Xenopus tropicalis: one gene and its partners. The protein of the gene in region 3 interacts with the protein of the main gene of each other region in a biochemical or structural test. Links are inferred from orthologs where the notes say so. Each region holds a gene or a part of one and is shown on either strand. Other genes may lie near its edges.

Evidence for each region. The genes of interacting proteins can lie anywhere in the genome.
Region 1: the proteins of tjp1 (region 3) and cldn7 form a complex in vitro, tested with the Homo sapiens proteins (2 studies listed by BioGRID and IntAct, with this or other methods). The link is inferred for Xenopus tropicalis from reciprocal best matches to the Homo sapiens genes TJP1 and CLDN7.
Region 2: the proteins of tjp1 (region 3) and jam2 form a complex in vitro, tested with the Homo sapiens proteins (2 studies listed by BioGRID and IntAct, with this or other methods). The link is inferred for Xenopus tropicalis from reciprocal best matches to the Homo sapiens genes TJP1 and JAM2.
Region 4: the proteins of tjp1 (region 3) and cldn2 form a complex in vitro, tested with the Homo sapiens proteins (2 studies listed by BioGRID and IntAct, with this or other methods). The link is inferred for Xenopus tropicalis from reciprocal best matches to the Homo sapiens genes TJP1 and CLDN2.
Region 5: the proteins of tjp1 (region 3) and cldn1 form a complex in vitro, tested with the Homo sapiens proteins (2 studies listed by BioGRID and IntAct, with this or other methods). The link is inferred for Xenopus tropicalis from reciprocal best matches to the Homo sapiens genes TJP1 and CLDN1.

The regions. Positions count from the first base shown.
Region 1 is NC_030679.2:153,399,185-153,403,444, forward strand, and holds the start of cldn7 (claudin 7 precursor), read right to left. Parts: upstream 2,801-4,260; 5' UTR 2,616-2,800; coding exon 2,393-2,615; intron 1-2,392. UniProt on the Homo sapiens protein: Plays a major role in tight junction-specific obliteration of the intercellular space.
Region 2 is NC_030678.2:18,672,716-18,676,651, forward strand, and holds the start of jam2 (junctional adhesion molecule B), read right to left. Parts: upstream 2,801-3,936; 5' UTR 2,778-2,800; coding exon 2,726-2,777; intron 1-2,725. UniProt on the Homo sapiens protein: Junctional adhesion protein that mediates heterotypic cell-cell interactions with its cognate receptor JAM3 to regulate different cellular processes. Plays a role in homing and mobilization of hematopoietic stem and progenitor cells within the bone marrow.
Region 3 is NC_030679.2:97,716,247-97,719,746, forward strand, and holds part of tjp1 (tight junction protein ZO-1), read right to left. Parts: intron 2,963-3,500; coding exon 2,857-2,962; intron 2,144-2,856; coding exon 1,993-2,143; intron 551-1,992; coding exon 442-550; intron 310-441; coding exon 90-309; intron 1-89. UniProt on the Homo sapiens protein: TJP1, TJP2, and TJP3 are closely related scaffolding proteins that link tight junction (TJ) transmembrane proteins such as claudins, junctional adhesion molecules, and occludin to the actin cytoskeleton.
Region 4 is NC_030684.2:37,315,428-37,319,230, reverse strand, and holds cldn2 (claudin-2), read right to left. Parts: upstream 2,367-3,803; 5' UTR 2,276-2,366; intron 1,888-2,275; 5' UTR 1,571-1,887; coding exon 875-1,570; 3' UTR 501-874; downstream 1-500. UniProt on the Homo sapiens protein: Forms paracellular channels: polymerizes in tight junction strands with cation- and water-selective channels through the strands, conveying epithelial permeability in a process known as paracellular tight junction permeability.
Region 5 is NC_030681.2:104,248,575-104,252,780, forward strand, and holds the start of cldn1 (claudin-1), read right to left. Parts: upstream 2,801-4,206; 5' UTR 2,650-2,800; coding exon 2,427-2,649; intron 1-2,426.

The DNA.
Region 1 (4,260 bases), about 56 Mb from region 3:
AAGGTCCCTATCACATTCCCATCAGCCCCTGCCCCAGTGAGCTTACAATCTAAGGTCCCTATCCAATCAGCCCCTGCCCCAGTGAGCTTACAATCTAAGGTCCCTATCCCATTCCCATCAGCCCCTGCCCCAGTGAGCTTACAATCTAAGGTCCCTATCACATTCCCATCAGCCCCTGCCCCAGTGAGCTTACAATCTAAGGTCCCTATCCAATCAGCCCCTGCCCCAGTGAGCTTACAATCTAAGGTCCCTATCCCATTCCCATCAGTCCCTGCCCCAGTGAGCTTACAATCTAAGGTCCCTATCCCATTCCCATCAGCCCCTGCCCCAGTGAGCTTACAATCTAAGGCCCCTGTCATCATGTGGGCCAATACCACCTTAGGGAGAATACCCATACTATTTTCCCCCAGACAGCGCCCATATCAGAAGCAGTGAGCCGGGCACTGCCAGGCAGCGGTACCAGTGTGCCACCCATATATAGATGCACCGTGCCCCACCCACAAGCCCAGCACCCCCCATGGGACAGCAGAGTCAGCAACACAATGACACCCCCAGGGAAACATTCAGTAGCTGCAACCTGACTCCCTGCATTACAGCCTGTTACCTGCCGCTGGCTGCACTGGATTGGATACCTGCCAAGACATGAATCACCCCGACTGGTTGGCTGGGAAACTCCGCCCCCATTTCAAAGGAGGAATCCGTTGGGGCCCGTGTGGCAGCAGGTGCAGTGTAACCGCCGAGCAGCACAGGTTCCCATTAGCCTTTAGACTGTAAGCTCTTGTGGCAAGAGAATCCCCTGCCTTTACCCCCATGTACTATATTATTGCAAGGAATGACATACATGGCATAGGGGCATCAGTGGGCACAGGGGCATCAGGGCAGCCCCATACAGCAGGGGTATAAGGCCGGGCCAGAACCAGAACATACAATAAACAACCCGGGGCCACTGCCTTAATTGACTCACAAACTTACCCCACGGGGGGCAAACAGCTTACAGCAGGACCATATAGGCCGATCTATTGCCCCCCATACCCTAATGCACCGACGCCATCATGAGATGCGCCCAGGGCGTGGCATTGGCCTCAGCCCAGCAGGGGGCGCTGGACACATTCTCAGTGAAAGTGAAAGAAAGGAATGGGACTAACCCCCCATCACACACAGTAAGGATACAGATTAACAGCCCTAGCTCCTAGAATACCAAGGGCCACCCCCAAAATCTTACTTGAATCTCTGCTATATGGGGGCAGGGGGGGGGGGGCAGAGGGAAGGTGAATGGCTACCGGGAAGGAAGGGGAAAGGTGAGTAGGGAGGACAGAAGGGGGAGGAGCCATTGGAAGGCAATAAAGGAGGGGCAGGTGAGTTTCACAGAAACCAGGTGAGGGGGTGGGATTGGGAAAGGTAAAGTGGGGAGGAGATCTGCAGTTTCCTACCCCCCCCCCCCCCATTCAGCCCGTTTCCCCCTGTAGTGCCCCCCCCATTCACTTCCCAGGAATAACCCTACAGAATGATGCTACACCTGGCCCTAACCCCCGGCCGCTATACATGCTGTACACACCCCAGCCATTCAGCCTCCTATATAAACTGGCAGAACTCCGATAACCCAGTAACCCCACTATCTGGGCCCAGTCTAATCAGCAGCAGATAAGAGATACCAGTGCAGCCTGCAGCACCAACCCCAGATAAGCCTCTGCCATAACGGGCTGCTACTGGGGCAGATACACGGCTGGGGCTACTGTTACACAGATAAACCACTGCCATAACGGCCCATAAGCGACAGAATCGCTGCTACTGGGGCAGATACACGGCTGGGGCTACTGTTACACAGATAAACCACTGCCATAACGGCCCATAAGCGACAGAATCGCTGCTACAGGGGCAGATACACGGCTGGGGCTACTGTTCCACAGATAAACCACTGCCATAACGGGCAGAATCGCTGCTACTGGGGCTACTGTTGCACAGATAAACAGCCACTGGGGCAATAAACACAGAACCATTACATCACAAAGAAAGGGGGCACTAGAGAGGGCAATAATAAACTTAGGGCACATTAACACAATAGCCCCCACCCCTCCAAGTAACTAGGGGCAACTAACACGTCATTAAGACCAGTAATGTGTAAGTAAATACCCCACCTGGGGGCAACAAAGGCTGAAAATAAAGCCCTTCACCTTACGGCGGGGCACAAGGGTCAATATGCAGTTACCCCATACAGGGAAGGGAAACTACCCCACCCCACTTGATTGCCCCCACAAGGAAGCGCCAGAGCCGAGCCCGGCGGGCGGGTGGGGCAGTTACAGAGTCCAGTCGGAACCGGTCAGACCGGTTTGGGGCAGGGGAAAACAAGTGGGGGAGGGGCAGTTCCCACACAGGATGCCCCAGGGGCACTTACCGTCCAGCTGCAGTAGGGAGTCATAGACTTTGCACTGAATCTGCCCCGTACTCTGGGTGGCGCAAGACATCCACAGCCCTTGGTAAATCGCCACCGCCGTGATGATCTGGTCCCCGGCATAGGAGGACATCTTCCACTGCGGCATAATAGTCGCTGCGATTAGTGCGATCCATCCCAGCAGCGCCAGTACGAAGCCCAGCAGCTGCAGCCCGGAGTTGGCCATCCCTGGGGGGTTGGAGTGTGGGGGTAGGTAGGAGTCCTTTGCCCCTGCACTAGGGGGGGTAAGTACAAGCTCAGGGACACACAGGGGCCCCTACTCCTCGCTGCTGCTGGGGGGGGGGGGGGGGCTCCGAACGATCGAGTAGTTTATCCCCGGCCGATAGAATCCGATCCGTCTCCTTCCTCCGCTCTCTCACCGATACCTGAGCCAGGTGCGACACCTGCGCCTTCTATATGAGCCCGGCCCCGGCCCCGCCCAGCTACCGTGACGTCACCACCTCCGGGCACCTGAGAGAGTGAAACGGTGACTCAACTGAAACCGGTGACATCAGAGGCTCTTTCTCTCTCTATGGAACAATAATACCCCCCATAGAGTTTATATCTGCCCCCATACACTGTATCTGCCCCCCATACAGTATATCTGCCCCCATACACTGTATCTGCCCCCCATACAGTATATCTGCCCCCATACACTGTATCTGCCCCCCATACAGTATATCTACCCCCATACAGTATATCTGCCCCCCATACAGTATATCTACCCCCATACAGTATATCTACCCCCATACACTGTATCTGCCCCCATACAGGGTATCTACCCCCCATACAAGGTATCTACCCCCCCATACAAGGTATCTACCCCCCATAAAGCATATCTACCCCCCCATAGAGCATATCTACCCCCCATACAGTGTATCTACCCCCCATACAGTATATCTACCCTCCATACAGTATATCTACCCCCCATACAGTGTATCTACCCCCCATACAGTATATCTACCCCCCATACAAGGTATCTACCCCCCATAAAGCATATCTACCCCCCATAGAGCATATCTACCCCCCATACAGTGTATCTACCCCCATACAGTGTATCTACCCCCCATACAAGGTATCTACCCCCCATAAAGCATATCTACCCCCCCATAGAGCATATCTACCCCCCTTACAGTCTATCTATGACCCTACCGTCTATTTACCCCCATACAGTCTGTCTACTCCCTGTGTAACTTTATAGTAATATCCCCTGATACACTGTATCTACTCCCTGTGTAACTTTATAGTAATATCCCCTGATACGCTGTATCTACTCCCTGTGTAACTTTATAGTAATATCCCCTGATACACTGTATCTACTCTGTGTAACTTTATAGTAATATCCCCTGATACACTGTATCTACTCCCTGTGTAACTTTATAGTAATATCCCCTGATACGCTGTATCTACTCCCTGTGTAACTTTATAGTAATATCCCTGATACACTGTATCTACTCCCTGTGTAACTTTATAGTAATATCCCCTGATACACTGTATCTACTCCCTGTGTAACTTTATAGTAATATCCCTTGATACGCTGTATCTACTCCCTGTGTAACTTTATAGTAATATCCCTGATACGCTGTATCTACTCCCTGTGTAACTTTATAGTAATATCCCCTGATACGCTGTATCTACTCCCTGTGTAACTTTATAGTAATATCCCCTGATACACTGTATCTACTCCCTGTGTAACTTTATAGTAATATCCCCTGATACGCTGTATCTACTCCCTGTGTAACTTTATAGTAATATCCCCTGATACGCTGTATCTACTCCCTGTGTAACTTTATAGTAATATCCCCTGATACACTGTATCTACTCCCTGTGTA
Region 2 (3,936 bases), on a different chromosome or scaffold from region 3:
GACTGAAAAGTAGTCAGCCAGATCAGCAGGGGAACAGGGGGCGGGGCTTAGGGAACTGTTCCAAACCATATTATTACATTAAAAATCATAAAAAGGCTGCATATTTTTCATTGATGTATATTGCAAAGTTGCTAAAAATTGCAGGAGCAATGGAAAGACAGTTTAAAAATGCTAAAAATGGAGCAAGATGCACATTCTATCTTGCACAATCTGCACATGTATGTGAATGTGACGCCGGCCACTCGCAATCTGCCCATACATGTGAATGAGACACAGGCAGCCTGTACACACGTGTGTGAGAGCTGAGCAACCTGTACATATATGTAACTGAGAAATAGGTCACTCAGAGCAACCTGAATATAGATGTGTGAGAGAGAGAAACGGGTCACTAGCAAAGAAACTTTCCGAGAGTGGATTTAGCAGCAGCAGCAGCAGCGCGTCCCCTAATCTCCCCGTCGCACACGTGCATCTATTTCCCTAATGGCTGGAAACAGCAAAGTCATTTAAACCATGTGATCTGCTAACCATCTCCTTTATTTTTACCATCAAATAATCCAGTTTATTTGCAGGGATACAGAGGCATGCAGGGTGTAACCCAGACTCATATCTAACCTGTTGGCCCCCCAGCTGTTGCAGAACTGTATCCCCCAGGTGGCTGAACTACCATCCTGGAAAAATGATTGGAGCCTGAGAGCCCCCGCTGGGTATGGCAGATACACTTGTTACCCCCCTAAAATATTAGGATAAAATAAACCTAAACAGCAGTATAACAACGGATAGCTCCCTTTAAAGCCATTTGCTGTAAATCAGTTTGGCATAAACCACTTGTGTCCAAAAAGACTTCCCTTTGGGTCACAGTCCAAACTGGCACTAAGTACAGGTGTGGGACCCATTATACATAATGCTCGGGACCTGGGTTTTCCGGATAAGGGGTCTTTCCGTAATTTGGATCTCCACTGCTTAAGTCTGCTAAAAATCATTTAAATATTGAATAAACCCCATAGGATTGTTTTGCCTCCAATAAGGATTAATTATATCTATATATATATATATATATATATATATATATATATATATAGTTGGGATCAAGTACAAGGTACTGTTTTATTATTACAGATAAATTATTAAAGGAAATCACTTTTGAAAATGTGAATTATTTGATTAAAATGAAGTCTATGGGAGATGGCCTTTACGTAATTCGGAACTTTCTGGATAATGGGTTTCCGGATAAGGGGTCCGATACCTGTATATACCCCAGTCACACAGGGAAGCACATGCTGCAAATACAATACCCAAGGTTCCCCCAAAGGTAAGAACATATCTACGCCCTTATCAATGCTCCGCTACATTGCACAGGTAATGCAGTCCACCCTTTGTGCCACTGCTCATTTAAACTCTAAGGGTGAAGGCACACAGAGCTACTTAGTAGCAGCAACATTTCACGGCTACTAAATGCCAGAAAATACCCTGCCATAGACAATACTGAGATATGCCTCAATTATCAATACATAGTCAGCATTGTCTATTTCTGTAGCTGCTACTAGTAGCTCTGTGTCTTCACCCTAAGAGTAAATACTGGAATCTTGAAAAAGTATGAACAGTCTGTACCAGAATATCAAGTCCATTTTAAGTTGATGCCCATATTTAATAACCACTGTGCATGCTGGGAGTAGGCTGGTGGACTTAATATGGTTAAAATGTGCCAGGCTTCTTATAAAAGTTGGCAAAATAATATTCTAGGTTAGACAGGGCTCTGATGATGTCATACAGAATCCTGAAGTCAAAAATACAATAAAGTCACACAGAGCACTAATGATGTCACACAGAATCCTGAAGTCATAAATATAATAAATTCAGTCACACAGAACACTAATGATGTCATACAGAATCATGAAGTCAGAAATATAATAAATTAAGTCACACAGAACACTAATGATGTCATACAGAATCATGAAGTCAGAAATATAATAAATTAAGTCACACAGAACACTAATGATGTCATACAGAATCTTGAAGTCATAAATATAACACATTAAGTCACACAGAGCAGAAATGATGTCACACAGAATCCCTAAGTCAGAAATATAATAAATAAAGTCACACAGAGCACTAATGATGTCATACAGAATCCTGGGGGCAGAATTATAATAAAGTCACACAGAGCACTAAAGATGTCACACAGAATCCTGAAGTCAGAAATATAATAAATTCAGTCACAAAGAACACTAATGATGTCATACAGAATCCTGAAGTCAGAAATATAATACATTAAGTCACATAGAGCAGAAATGATGTCATACAGAATCCCAAAGTCATAAATATAATAAATTAAGTCACACAGAACACTAATGATGTCATACAGAATCCTGGGGGCAGAAATATAATAAATAAAGTCACACAGAGCAATAATGATGTAATAGCGGATCATGGAGCCAGCAGTATATAATATTCTAAGTCAGACCGGCACTAATAGCCTAATAGAGAATTTGGCAGTAGCAGCAGCCAATCCCCGGCATGCAGGCAGAGCAGGGAAACATGTAGCCCATGAGGGGGGATGCAGAAAGTATGGGAGTGAGGGTCCCTGTGGGCAGGCGGGCAGGCGGGCAGGCAGGCAGGACAAAGGCTCCCAGCCCGGATTTCACAACCCCCCGACACACACAGAGCACAAAGTGCCGACAGAAAGCGCCCAAAGCAGCGGAGTTCAGTAAAGATCCCAGAAACTTACAGCAAAGCGCCGCAAAGTAGCCGAGAAAGATCGCACAGGCTGGAGACCGCATCCTCCGAGTCCGTTAGATGAGAGAATAAGCGCAGACCGAGCGGCACAGCCAACAGTGAGAGGGGCAGGCACCTTGTAACGGGGAAGTGCGGGATGCACAGGAATGTGCCGCTCTGGCGCCCCCTACCCGCAGCGCCGCTAATAGCGCCCTCCAACCACCGCTTGCTCTGCATCCCCTCCCTGTAATCTCTCCCTGCTCAGCGCTGGCTGAAGTGTGAAAGTACATTTATTTATAAACCACTTCCATTCTTCTTCATTCTTCTATCAGACTGCTCATTCCGCTGCATAAAAACACTATGTACAGAATATACTTTAGCGTTGTTATTGGTCCTACCTGTCTGTTGGACTACAAATCCCAGCATACCCTGCGTCGCTTTTGAAAGCTTGTGTTTTGTACTGTAACAAATAATGGAGTGTGGCTGCGGAAACCAACAAATGCTTTGTGATAAAAATGCTTTCAGATATTTGTTCTAAGAATTGGGGATGCTCCAAATCCTAATCTTTAGTATCATTTATTTATACAGAGCTTTTACAGAGATTATACATCACTCACTGCCCCAGTGAAGATTACAATCTGAGGCCCCTACTGATAAATTACCGGCCTGTATTTATAAAGATACCCACAAAAACACACAGGCAGGGTCAGACTAGGGGGTGCAGGGCCCACCGGGACTTCTGCCTCAGGAGACCCTGCACCCCCAAATGGCCCCTGCCGCCTTCACTGCCCCCCCCCCCCCGCAGAGGCCCCCAACACCCTCCGACCCCCACCCCCGAGCTCTCCTAAAAGAAACTTACCTGCGTCGGGTCGGGGGAGGGAGATGGCGAATCATGGGAGCACCCTGGGGGGATCGGATCTCGACCGACACTGCACACAGGGTGGAACTGGGGTGTGTGGGGCCCACTGGGGCCCCCTAACACCCTTAGGGGCCCTTGACACCCGACCACTGCCATCCACCCCTCCCCAGCGCATATATCTCATATTTACCTAGGCTCAATCTGGGGAGGGAGAGCAGCAGGGGAGATATGATGCTTCCCGGTGGTGATGGGGTCTGGGTCAGTGGGGCCCACCGGGTTTTTTTCTCAGTGTCCCACCGGCTTAGTCTGATCCTGTAGACACAGGGAGAACATACAACTCCTTGCAGATAGCGCCCTGTCTTGAT
Region 3 (3,500 bases):
CACACAAGCATAACCAAACAGCTCTACTATCCATACAGTTAAAGTACACAAAAATACAAAAGAAACCTGTAAAACTGGTAACCACTTACCTATTCTTGTTGGGGATTATCCCTCTTTCCACCTCCTTGTGATTTCTACCAATTCTAATGGCCAACCATGACCCTAGTTTGCCATTGTAAAGAGTATCCACAACTCGAAAGACCTCTCCTTTGTTGAAACTTAGCCCGTATGGTGACTCTTTCTCATATTCAAAGTGAGTTCTTATATAAAATGAATCCCCAACATCTGACTCAACAATGCGGCGATACACTGGAAACACAAATATGGTACATTCTAAATTTCAGCATGAAGAGGTAATGCTTGCAAAATATACAATTGTTTAATTAATGATAAACACAAATATTTTCATATTCATGGCCAACTTATGGCAAGAAAACTTACCATCTTTCTTTTTCTGAGCAAGAATGGTAACCTCTTCTCCTTTGGGCAGATCAAGAAGGAACAGTACCGCTTCTTCCCTTATTATATTGGTGAAATCCACATTGTTAACCTAAAATTAAATTTAATATTTGCATTTAGTTTGGATTATTTAGAACTGAAGGTTGCACAAAAACAACCAATCCCACTTAGCACTTTTATTTACAAGGGTCATCAGAAATTATGGGATAATAAAGCAAAACATAGTTCACTTGGCTTAATTCAAGCTATAAGAACACTATACACCCTGTAGCTAATTGTCACATTAGGCATTTCTCTGGAAGTGGAAACAAAATTAATGCCAGCCAATTCTGCCCCATGCTATTAATGGCATCCATGCGTCACTGTGAACACAAGGAGGATTTCGGCCATTTATGCACAGCTGTATTTGGGCCAAAATGTGCCTGTTATTCAGTGGCAAATGGGTGCCATGTTTTTCCGTCTAGCAGAAAAAAAGCATAGTGTGAGATTTTATATCAAGGAGTATTGCAGCTCGCAAACACATGAATACAAACACATTTGTTTTTTAATAAAGCTTCCTGAGGGGAATATTACAGATTAAAAAAGTGAAATTAAGCACTTCCTTGTTCTTTGTCTATTTAACATTGAATAACTAAAATCCCTGCTAAATAATAGTAGGTGGAATGACACACTTAAAGGGATACGGTAATGTTTTTTATGGTATAATTTTTATTTCTAAATTACACTGTTTACATAGCAAATAATTCACTCTACCATTGAAAATGTTATTCTTGAACCAACTAATGTATTTTTTTAGTTGTGATATTGGTGTGTAGGCAGTGCATTGTGCCTGAGTCTGAGCTTTCAGAAAGAGCCAGTGCTACACATTAGAACTGCTTTCAGCTAACCTATTGTTTCTCCTACTCTCATGTAACTGGAGAAGTCACAAGCTGGACTTGTATTTTCTACCATGGAGCGCTATTCTGATATCTACTGGGAGCTGCTATCTTGCTAGCTTTCCATTGTTCTGCTGATCAGCTGCTGGGAGGGGGGTGATATCACTTCAACTTGCAGCTCAGCAGTAAAGTGTGACTGAAGTTTTTTAGAGCACGGTCACATGGTTGAGGCACTCTAAGAAATGAAGAATATGGCTAGCCCCATGTGAAATTTCAAAATTAAATATAAAAAAAATCAGTGTTTTTGAAAAACAGATTTCAACGCAGGATTCTGCTGGAGAAGATCTATTAACTGATGTGTTTTGGGGAAAAAAAACATGTTTTCCCATGACAGCATTCTTTGTTTAAAACAATCATTTATACTAATCTATTTCAAAGTTTATGACAACATGAAAATGTAAATGTAGTAGTTGGGATTTTCATGTTCCATTGAGGGTAAGTTAACCTTGTGAGTGTAAACTTCAGGAAATAGTGTGATATCCATAAGCAACATTTCTACTTTTTCCACCTGTATTTCTATTATGTACTTTTATTAATGCTCATAGCATAACAGTAGAGCTGAAAAAATCTTGCATTATAAAATTTTACTGCTACTTACTCTGAGTATCTGGTCCCCTTCCTCCAAACCTTCTTTTGCGGCAGGACTGTCGTCTAATACACCAGCAACAAAAATTCCCACATCATTACCACCAGCCAAACGAAGGCCTACACTGTCTCCTTTCCTGAACTTCACCAGTTTCATGCTTGGCCTCCAAAAAACAGAAGTAAATTTAGCATGGAACAAATAAATCTAAGCAAAGTTTATAATATCTGAACTATCTGTATAATTTTTAGAAAAGACGTACTAAAAAAATTCATACATGCTACAGCATATATTCAATACACACTGTGTAAATAACACTAAACAATAATTAAACAATCTATAAAACAAATTTATTTTCTCTCAAATGTCCCTGTGGATTATAGAATTCTTCTTTGAAAAAAATTTTTTTTAAGGTTTACATTTGGGGTAGCACTACAGTTCATTTAACTTGGAAGGGCACCTCTTGGCCCTCTTACTGTTGATAAATTAGTGCTGATTGAAATGCAAGGGAGTATGTTGAGTATTTCGATGAAAGAGGCCACTAGCTTATACAGTGGCAATTCTCCTTGGTCAGTCAGGGTGAGGACACACAGAGCTACTTAGTAGCATCTTCTTGCTAAGGTTACTTAACACCAGAAAATGCTCTGCCAAAGACAATACTGAGAATTGCCTCTCCTATTGTTATAAATAAACAATCAGCATTGTCTATTTTAGTAGCCATGACAAGCAGTTGCTACTAGTAGCTCTGTGTGTCTTCACCCTAAAGAAAGAAGGTGGCTACAAAGCACCTATTCTTAGAAGAAAGGAAGGATTCCTTAAAACAGTTTTAATAACAATTTTAAGCATTTTTAAATGTTGTTAACAGAAAGTGTGCATTACCGAAGCATGCCATCTTCATGTGTAGAATTAGGGAAAGGTCCATCAGATGGGCTGACTGGCAAATCCACATCTGGTTGTCCTGGCTGGGCATATACAGGTTTTGGCTCTGTTAAAGAAATTAAAATATAAAAAAAAATAGGCTTGCATTGCAAACATTTTATAATAATTAACCCCCCAATCCCACCATTATGGAACTCACCAGATCCTCCAAAGGGACCACTAGCAGGACCCAGACCTATTATGTGTGGAGGCATCTAAGAGCTTCTCTAAAACAAATCAGCACATTGGATAAAAACTCCTTTATACCACACACCAAAGCCTATTTGCCTGATTCAAGCTCACTACTTCACACATGGTGTACTAAGTTGGCAGAGTGGCTCTGACTTAGTACTGTATTCATTTTACAGATTATTCAGGGCTTTAGTGTATTATATGGATATACAGTCGTAGGATAGCTCTATTATCCAGAAAGCTTGGAATGACGTTTCCCGTTTATTTTTACATTTATTTTATTTTTTAACAGTTTCCTGTAGTTATAAAACAGTGCCTTCTACTTGAAGGTAGCTAACTGCATAAATCCATACGGATAGCAAAACAATCCTTTTCAATGCTTTTTTTAAAAATGTAAATGTTTTTTAGTAGAT
Region 4 (3,803 bases), on a different chromosome or scaffold from region 3:
TGGAGTTTGACACTGACAGCCTGCAGATAGAATTCCATCATCCATGTTATAGGTCAGAAATGATTAAGTCCCAAATAACACTTAACAGGCAATTGCTGCATGTCACATATATACACAGAACCTAAAAATCTCTCTATATATGGAACTATATATTACAAAAATCCCTCTCTTATTAACATGTAATCTGCAAATGGAAACAATATGTTAGTTACGGGCCCAACCTAGTTTTGCCCTTGCTAAACAATAATAAAGACAGGACCCTAAAGGTGGCCATACACGGGCCGACTATAGCTGCCGATATCGGTCCCTTGGACCGATTTGGCAGCTAATCGGCCCGTGTATGGGCAGGGCAGAGCGGCCTGGCCGACCGATATCTGGCCTGAAATAGGCCAGATCTCGATCGGCCAGGTTAGAAAATCCGGTCGGATCGGGGACCGCATCGGCTCGTTGATGCGGTCCCCGATCCGACTGCCCCATTGCTGCCCACATAATGCTCCCCGATATCGCCCACCCGTAGGTGGGGATATCGGGGGAAGATCCGCTCGCTTGGCCAAGCGAGCGGATCTGCTGGTCTATGGCCACCTTAAGTATAAATTACTTAAATCCCTGATAACTGTCAGTCAGGTAAAATTTCATTTCAACCACCGACCGCCCCCTGCCTTCAGCCTCAGAGCCTGTACTTGTATTGCCTTTGCATTATCAGTGCATTCTTCACAAATGTTTCTCTGAACAAATGTTTCTTCAACACACAGTAGTCCAGTGTAGTTTAGTTTAAGTATAATTTAAGTTCTTGCACTGTTCACATTGCATACATGTTCCTGGAAAGAAGATGCCGGTGTGAGCAAGGACAATTCCTTTTTATTTTACTAACCTCCTATACATAACCTGTGAGATTGTACCCACTTTGTTCACGCTTAGAGGTTTCTGTTAAGACAGTAGCATTTGCTCCCTTGTTGGCTACTAGAGGTTTCCTCTGGTACCTGCTGTAGAACTCATGACCCTCTTCTCTGGGTGGGCATGAAGCACAGAGAATGGAGCCTCCAAGTACTGAGACAATTGATGACATAATGCCCAGATAGAGAGCAGGTCCAATTTCATACCTCATTGAATCAGCAATAATAGGGTTGTAGAAGTCTCTTAGAATAGAATGCAGGTTCCAGCAAATTGGCACCAAGCATAGGACACCTCCTAGGATAAATAAAACCCCTCCAACAATGGCTATTTTAGCCTTCCCAGGGGAGTCCTGAGAGAAGATGGTGCATTTCATACCAAAGATTGAGAAGAGGCCGGCTAGTGAAGACAGTACACAAGATGTGATCATGAGAGCTTGAGCAGCTTGGGTATCAGATGGTAACCCCAGCATGGAGTTGTAAATGTCACATTGTGTGATGCCTGTGCTATAGGAAGCACACTCCATCCACAGCCCTTTGGAGAAGCCCACAGCTGTTACAATGCTGGCACCAACATATGAGCTTACCTTCCAGTTGGGCATAAGTGTGGCAACAACAGAGCCAACTAGTCCCAGGATGCCCATGAAGTAACCCATCATCTGAAGGCCTACAGACGTCATTTTGCTGTCTCTTCTTGTATAAAAGACTACTTGTTTTTGATTAAGACAGTCTCCAGAGTAGTGGTGTATCTCTGTGTTAGCAGAGTATTTCTTTTTCTGTAGCCTTTAGCTCACGGTCATTGTGTGCACACATATAGCCAGTTTAAACGGAACATCTGTTTTGGCTTTTCCACTCTCTGCACTTTCTCCTGGAGTTTTCACAGTGCCAGGAATGGCACTGCCACCTCTTCTCACACTTTCTATGTGGCAGCTGTCTACAGCCTCTGATCTTACAATCTCTGGATCGGATAATAGGCTGTGGAGTCCTCTTTATAGACCTACAATCAAATAAAAAAAGGTAAAAAACAGAGACGGAAGGGGTGAGGGTGGAGGTTGGGGGGGGTTAAATATTCACTAACAAATTGATTAGCCAAATGCTCCTTGACCGCGTTATCTCTGAAAAATAGAAATCAAACATTCCCCCATCCTCAGCCATTTGATCATTTGTCAGAGAAACCTACCTATGTTGTGTAACCTACCGCCTCTGTTTTACTATCCCCATGCAGTTTATCATTCTTTATTGCCATTATAACACCTCCACACTGTATGACAGCTTCTGACTAACTTGTCACGCTTGTGACATGTTATGTAAGTCAATACACTGTACTACGTGTCTGTTAGTGCCCCTTATGATAATGTTTGTAGCTATTTAACAACCCCACGTACCTTCTGCTTTTGTGACATCTTTATAAACCAACTGATTGCCGGTGAGTATTATCTCCCCTGATCTTGGAGATAAACAGCATCAGATTGCTTCATTGCACCATCTACTATTTTATTCCATCAATCCATATCCTGGGTGCTCTATTGCAACTTTCATTTACTTTGCACATAGAGAGCAAAGCAGTATAAGCGCTGCACGTCACCCGTATTAAAAATAATTCCCCCTGGAATTTGGACACTTTAATCTATCCCCTTCCCTCTGTATTGCTTGTGCTTGCAACAGAATGTTAAATCCACAAAGTAATTAACTGTTGCTCCAGCATATACTGTAGACATGTGAAACGAAATTAAAGAAGTTATTATAAAGTTCTAAAAGGTTGTGTTTATAGAACATTATACTTAGCAATTAAAGCTTTATGTTTGCATTTAAATCTCTGGTACTCCCACGCATGAAATAGTATTACAAGCAAAGTTACTGGGTGGGTAAGTTAAGCAAGCATTTCTATGCCACTAGAGGCCACCGCTTCATATTAAAGCAGTGGTTCCCAGTCTGGGGGGGAATGGAACCCATTGCAGGGTTTGCAATCTTGCAAACGAAGGCCAGGTAGGGATAGAAATTGGGAGAATATCTATTTCCTCTCCTAGGCATTACTGGGAGCCCATCTTGAAGGACAATAAGAATGAGATTTGGGATGAACATGTATTTGCTGTCCTAGATATTCTTGGGACTATGATTAATCAACTAATTGAGCCTCAAAGAGTGGAAAACTGAATAAGTCCAAAAAAACAATGCGTCACAGATTATTATGGAGAGAGGTCTGCAGCTGTCAGAGCCACAAGTAGAGGTTATGGGCATTCACACAAATTGCAAACGTGGTTTTACCTTTTTTCAAAGTAAGAGCAGAAGCACCCAATGTAAATTCAAATATGTATTTGCCAGCAGGGCAGCAGGGTTTCCACAAAACAGGGGCATTTTACAGGTATGGGACCTGTTATCCAGAATGCTCGGGACCTGGGGTTTTCCGGATAAGGGATCTTTCCGTAATTTGGATCTCCATAACTTGTCTGTTAAAAATCATTTAAATATTGAATAAACCCAATAGGATTGGTTTGCCCCCAATAAGGATTAATTATACCTTAGTTGGGATCAAGTACAAAGTACTGTTTTATTATTACAGAGAAAAAGGAAATCTTTTTTAAAAATTTGAATTATTTGCTTATAATAGAGTCTATGGGACATGGCCTTTCCATAATTTGGAACTTTCTGGATAAGGGGTTTCTGAATAAGGGATCCCATACCTGTACAAAATATACTGTATGCAATAAACATTCTTCTTAAAACAGAAATGACAATGCTCTTGGATGGTAAATCACCCACTATTATGGCAAATTGATGCAGGACAATTATAGAAATGTAACTCACAACTTTAGCCATTTTCATCAGCCTTCCCAGCTGTACCCCCTCACTTCCTGGTTCCTATTTTCTGCACAGAGACCTCAATCACAAATTCCTCCCCTTTTTTCACAGGTG
Region 5 (4,206 bases), on a different chromosome or scaffold from region 3:
AAAGAATAATAATAAAATAATATGCAATGTCAGCCCTAATGCAGACTAATGATAGCACCTTAGATCCATTGCAGAGTCCTGTGCTTCTACCAGGGCAGGAAGATTTGCAAGAGACAAGGACTGTTCAGTTCCTTAAGCAATGTCTTTTAATAATTAAGACTTTTGCTTTAACTGTCAGGCTATTCTGCTTACTTACAACAGCTACATATTCCTGAAACATTAACCAGGCATAAACATTTGTTCTCATCCAGGCCAAATGCATTTGGCACATTGGCATTGTCAGAGAAAGTTGCTTTCTTATTAGTATTAAAAGGACCAGTGTTTGGGATTAAGTGTAGATGTCCTCAGTTGATTTTGAGGTTACAAGTCTCCTTTATGGTTGTGTGTCTTAGTTTTACTAACTAATTGTTATCTGTATTGTCCAACATATACTGATAAAATCATATTAAATAATAATAAAAAACATAAATGAAAGATTATTGTATAAAGAATGATCAAATATTTTTGGATGCTACACAGGGGTATCAGTGTATTATAAGCAGGACACACCTTAACTGATTGTATTATGAAGGAATCTTGCAGGAGGGGCTGCTTGTTCTCTGCTTTGTGAACTTAGAATAACTGGTGAACTATCAACATCTAAGAAACATAAGAAAAAGAATCCTGCCCCCCATATGGGCTCCCAGTCTTTGAGTTATCCAAAAACAACATTCCCTTAGGAAGGATGTTATCCTTTGTGCAAAGAAAAATACCTAACTCTAGCCCTTTATAAACAATACTAGGGTGTCCAGCAAGGAGGCAGCTATTTTCATATATAATTCTCTTGTGTTCTCAAGTGGATCCTTTTAACCCATTTACAACTGCCACACAGGGTCATTCTGTTCTGAAAAATGTTCATAAAACCTGAACATGGCCTCAAGCTGTTCATGGACACTACAAATGAAGCATGTACTCTGGCAGTATTAAAACAAAATATGATACCATGCAGCTGCTGGAAATAGCAACTCCCAACATCCTCTATTGTTTGCATGCTATTAGAGGATACTGGGAGTTATGATTCACTAGAAGGTTCAGCACTCCTGTTTTTTAATACATCACAAAACAAATCTTCAGGAGTTCTGTAACTTGAGGCATTCTTCATTTCATGGTTAGTGTTATGGACTATTTCATATAACACCAGGTACCTTCTCTTTGGACAACCTAATATACTTATGTTCAATGTTTTCCATAGCCAGATGGCTGTCATGTCACGTTTAGACTATTTCATATAAAACCAGGTACCTAACTGTGGTCAACCCAATAAACCCAATAAATCCAATAAATCGCAATGAAATAAGCAGGCTGCTTATCAATGAGCCATCAATAGAAGGTGATCTTGCCAAGCCTAATAGCATTTCTACCTCGAAACAAATGTGTTTTACTTATTGACTTAGAATTCATGATTTTCAGCAGGCTACAATTATTTTGTCATATTACCAGCAAGTTAAGATAAACACCATGCCAATGTATTATAATAATATTTAAATTGAAGCTGGTATTTTATAACACCAACATAAACTTGTCATTTCATTGGTAATAACTGGATGATTCGTTGTCAAAGGTGTAGTGGCACTTAGAGTATAATTACACATACTCTATCCATCAATTTTTATAGCTCAGTTTCTCTGTTGTCATCAAAAATTCTTGTTTCAAATGTAAAGTAGTGGACTATCAACAAAGAAGGGAATGTAAAAGGACAAAGGCCTGGACCAAACATATCAGAGCATGTATAAATTGATATACAGGTATTGGACCCCTTATCCGGAAACCCATTATCCAGAAATATCTGAATTACGGAAAGGCCATCTCCCATAGACTCCACTTTAATCAAATAATTCCCATTTTTATAAATGGTTTCCCTTTTTCTCTGTAATAATAGAACAGAACCTTGTACTAGATCCCAACTAAGATATGATGAATCCTAGTTGGAGCCAAAACAATCCTATTGGGGTTAATTACTGTTTAAATAATTTTTTCAGTAGACTTAATGTAGAAGATCTGAATTACAGACAGACCCCTTATCCAGAAAACCCCAGGTCCCAAGCATTCTGTATAACGGGTCCCCTACCTGTATATATATATAGAGAGAGAGATAGAGAGAGAGAAAGAGAGAGAGAGAAAGAGAGAGAGGGAGAGATTTTGAAAGACAGTGCACACGCCCAGGTGCTGCGGCCCAGGTGCTGCCACAAAAATAATATCAGCATGTAGAGCACTCATGTACCTAAAATTATCTGCGTTCAATTTGTGCACATAATTTAAGTCCAATGAGTGCTCTGTGTTCTACATGCTTATATATATATATATATATATGCACACATACTTTTGAGCATTTAAGATAGCCATAGAAATATATATTATCAAATGAAATTAAAAAAAAATCTACTTACTGTCCAGCTTCAGCAGCGAGTCATAGGTTTTGCACTGCATCTGCCCTGTGCTCTGCATTACACAAGACATCCAGAGTCCTTCATAGGTGATCTGTGCTGTGATAATGGCATCCCCAGCAAACGATGACATTTTCCATTGAGGGATTGCAATACATACTATAAACCCAATCCAGCCCAGACAAGCTAAGGCGAATCCTAAAAGTTGCAAGCCTGCGTTGGCCATCCTTTTGAGTGGATAAAATAAGTTACCACTTGGCCACCCTCTGAAGCAGGAGCTTGTCCGCTCTTCTGTAGTCTAAGGAGGACCTTTAAGTAAATGTAGACTGAAAATTTCTCAAGTCAGAAAAAAGTGGAGAAGGAAGAGTTCATCAGTGGTCGTCCAGGTCTATCTTCTAACTGAAAACTTCTGCTTATCTGCCTTATTTAAAGTGACTTGAGTTCTCCTCCCAGTGGCAGTCCTTAGAATTGCATTGGCTCAGCAGGATAATCATTTGCAATGAAAGACTCATCACCACCTCCCACCACATTTGTGACACCACAAATGTTTTTTTCTGCTTGCTTTGACTGCAGGGGAGTTAAAAGCAAAGCTGATTCCAGCAATGTAGTCATTGTTTTGTCCTCATCCATAATACATATTTTTTAAGCCAGGTGTTTTTCACCAAGCTATAGAACAGCCATAGAATTTGCAAGAGCTTTAAACAATGCAGTGGAAAAATAAATGAATCAGACACATTAAGAGTAATGGTTGCTGACAAACTGTCTCATTACAGACTTTGTAACTCAGTTGCGGTCAGTGTCAGAGGTTTTAGCCCTGTGTGTTTGGGCTAATAAAAGACATGTTAGGCAAAACATCATAACAAATATTTCAGGCTAAGACTTTTTTTATAAACACAAGAGAAAATTGTTAATTACAAAATACTTAACTGTTACCCAGGACTTGTATCTGGGGGCAGTGCTTGGTGGGTGCAAGGCAGCCCTGGCGCTCTTTATATCATATGTGATGACAAGCAAGTTAGGGGGTGGGTTAAGGAAAACCTACAAGCTTCCCCTAGCCCACCCCTTATAAATGCAGCACTGTATTCATTGGGAAAACATAGGTCCTTGTGTTCCATTTGGGCGATCATGACAAAGGCGGTGTGCACAATGCAAAAACATGGCTGCTTGTTCCTGCTTTTTTGCACATTGTGCCCTGATCCCCAGTTTGTAAATGTATTTGTGCAATCCAGAAAGGTACCTGCTTCCATATATGCTCCTGAAATTACTATCAGCAAGGTTGCAGCAATAGTTGCAATTTCCTTGTATTAAATGCATTAAATGCTAATGCTTTTATTAACTTCATACGCAGGTGATACATTCAAACACAAATCCAGGGAACATAATTTCCAAAAATGCCCACTAATTTGTATCTATTGGTGCATCATGAGCAAGTTGAGGTAGGTGCAAGTTAGAGGGGTAGTTCAATCAAACCACTGCCTGGTTCCTAAGGTAATTTATATTCTAGCAACCAGATAGCTGCTAAAATTCGAAACTGGAATGCTGCTAAACATAATAAACTGCGAAAACACTGCATTGTGAGTAAAAATCATGGCAACCAGGGCCAGAACCAGGGAAAGGCAGATGAGGCAGGTGCCTAAGGCCCACAGAACGGGGGGGGGGGGGGGGGGGGGGTTTAGGCATGTACCCCTCCCTTCTGTCTACCCCTAGTTCTGCCTCCTACCAGCTTATCACTATAGCTTATTGAATCACCTTCTACTCATCACCACAGGGGGATCTCAACTTG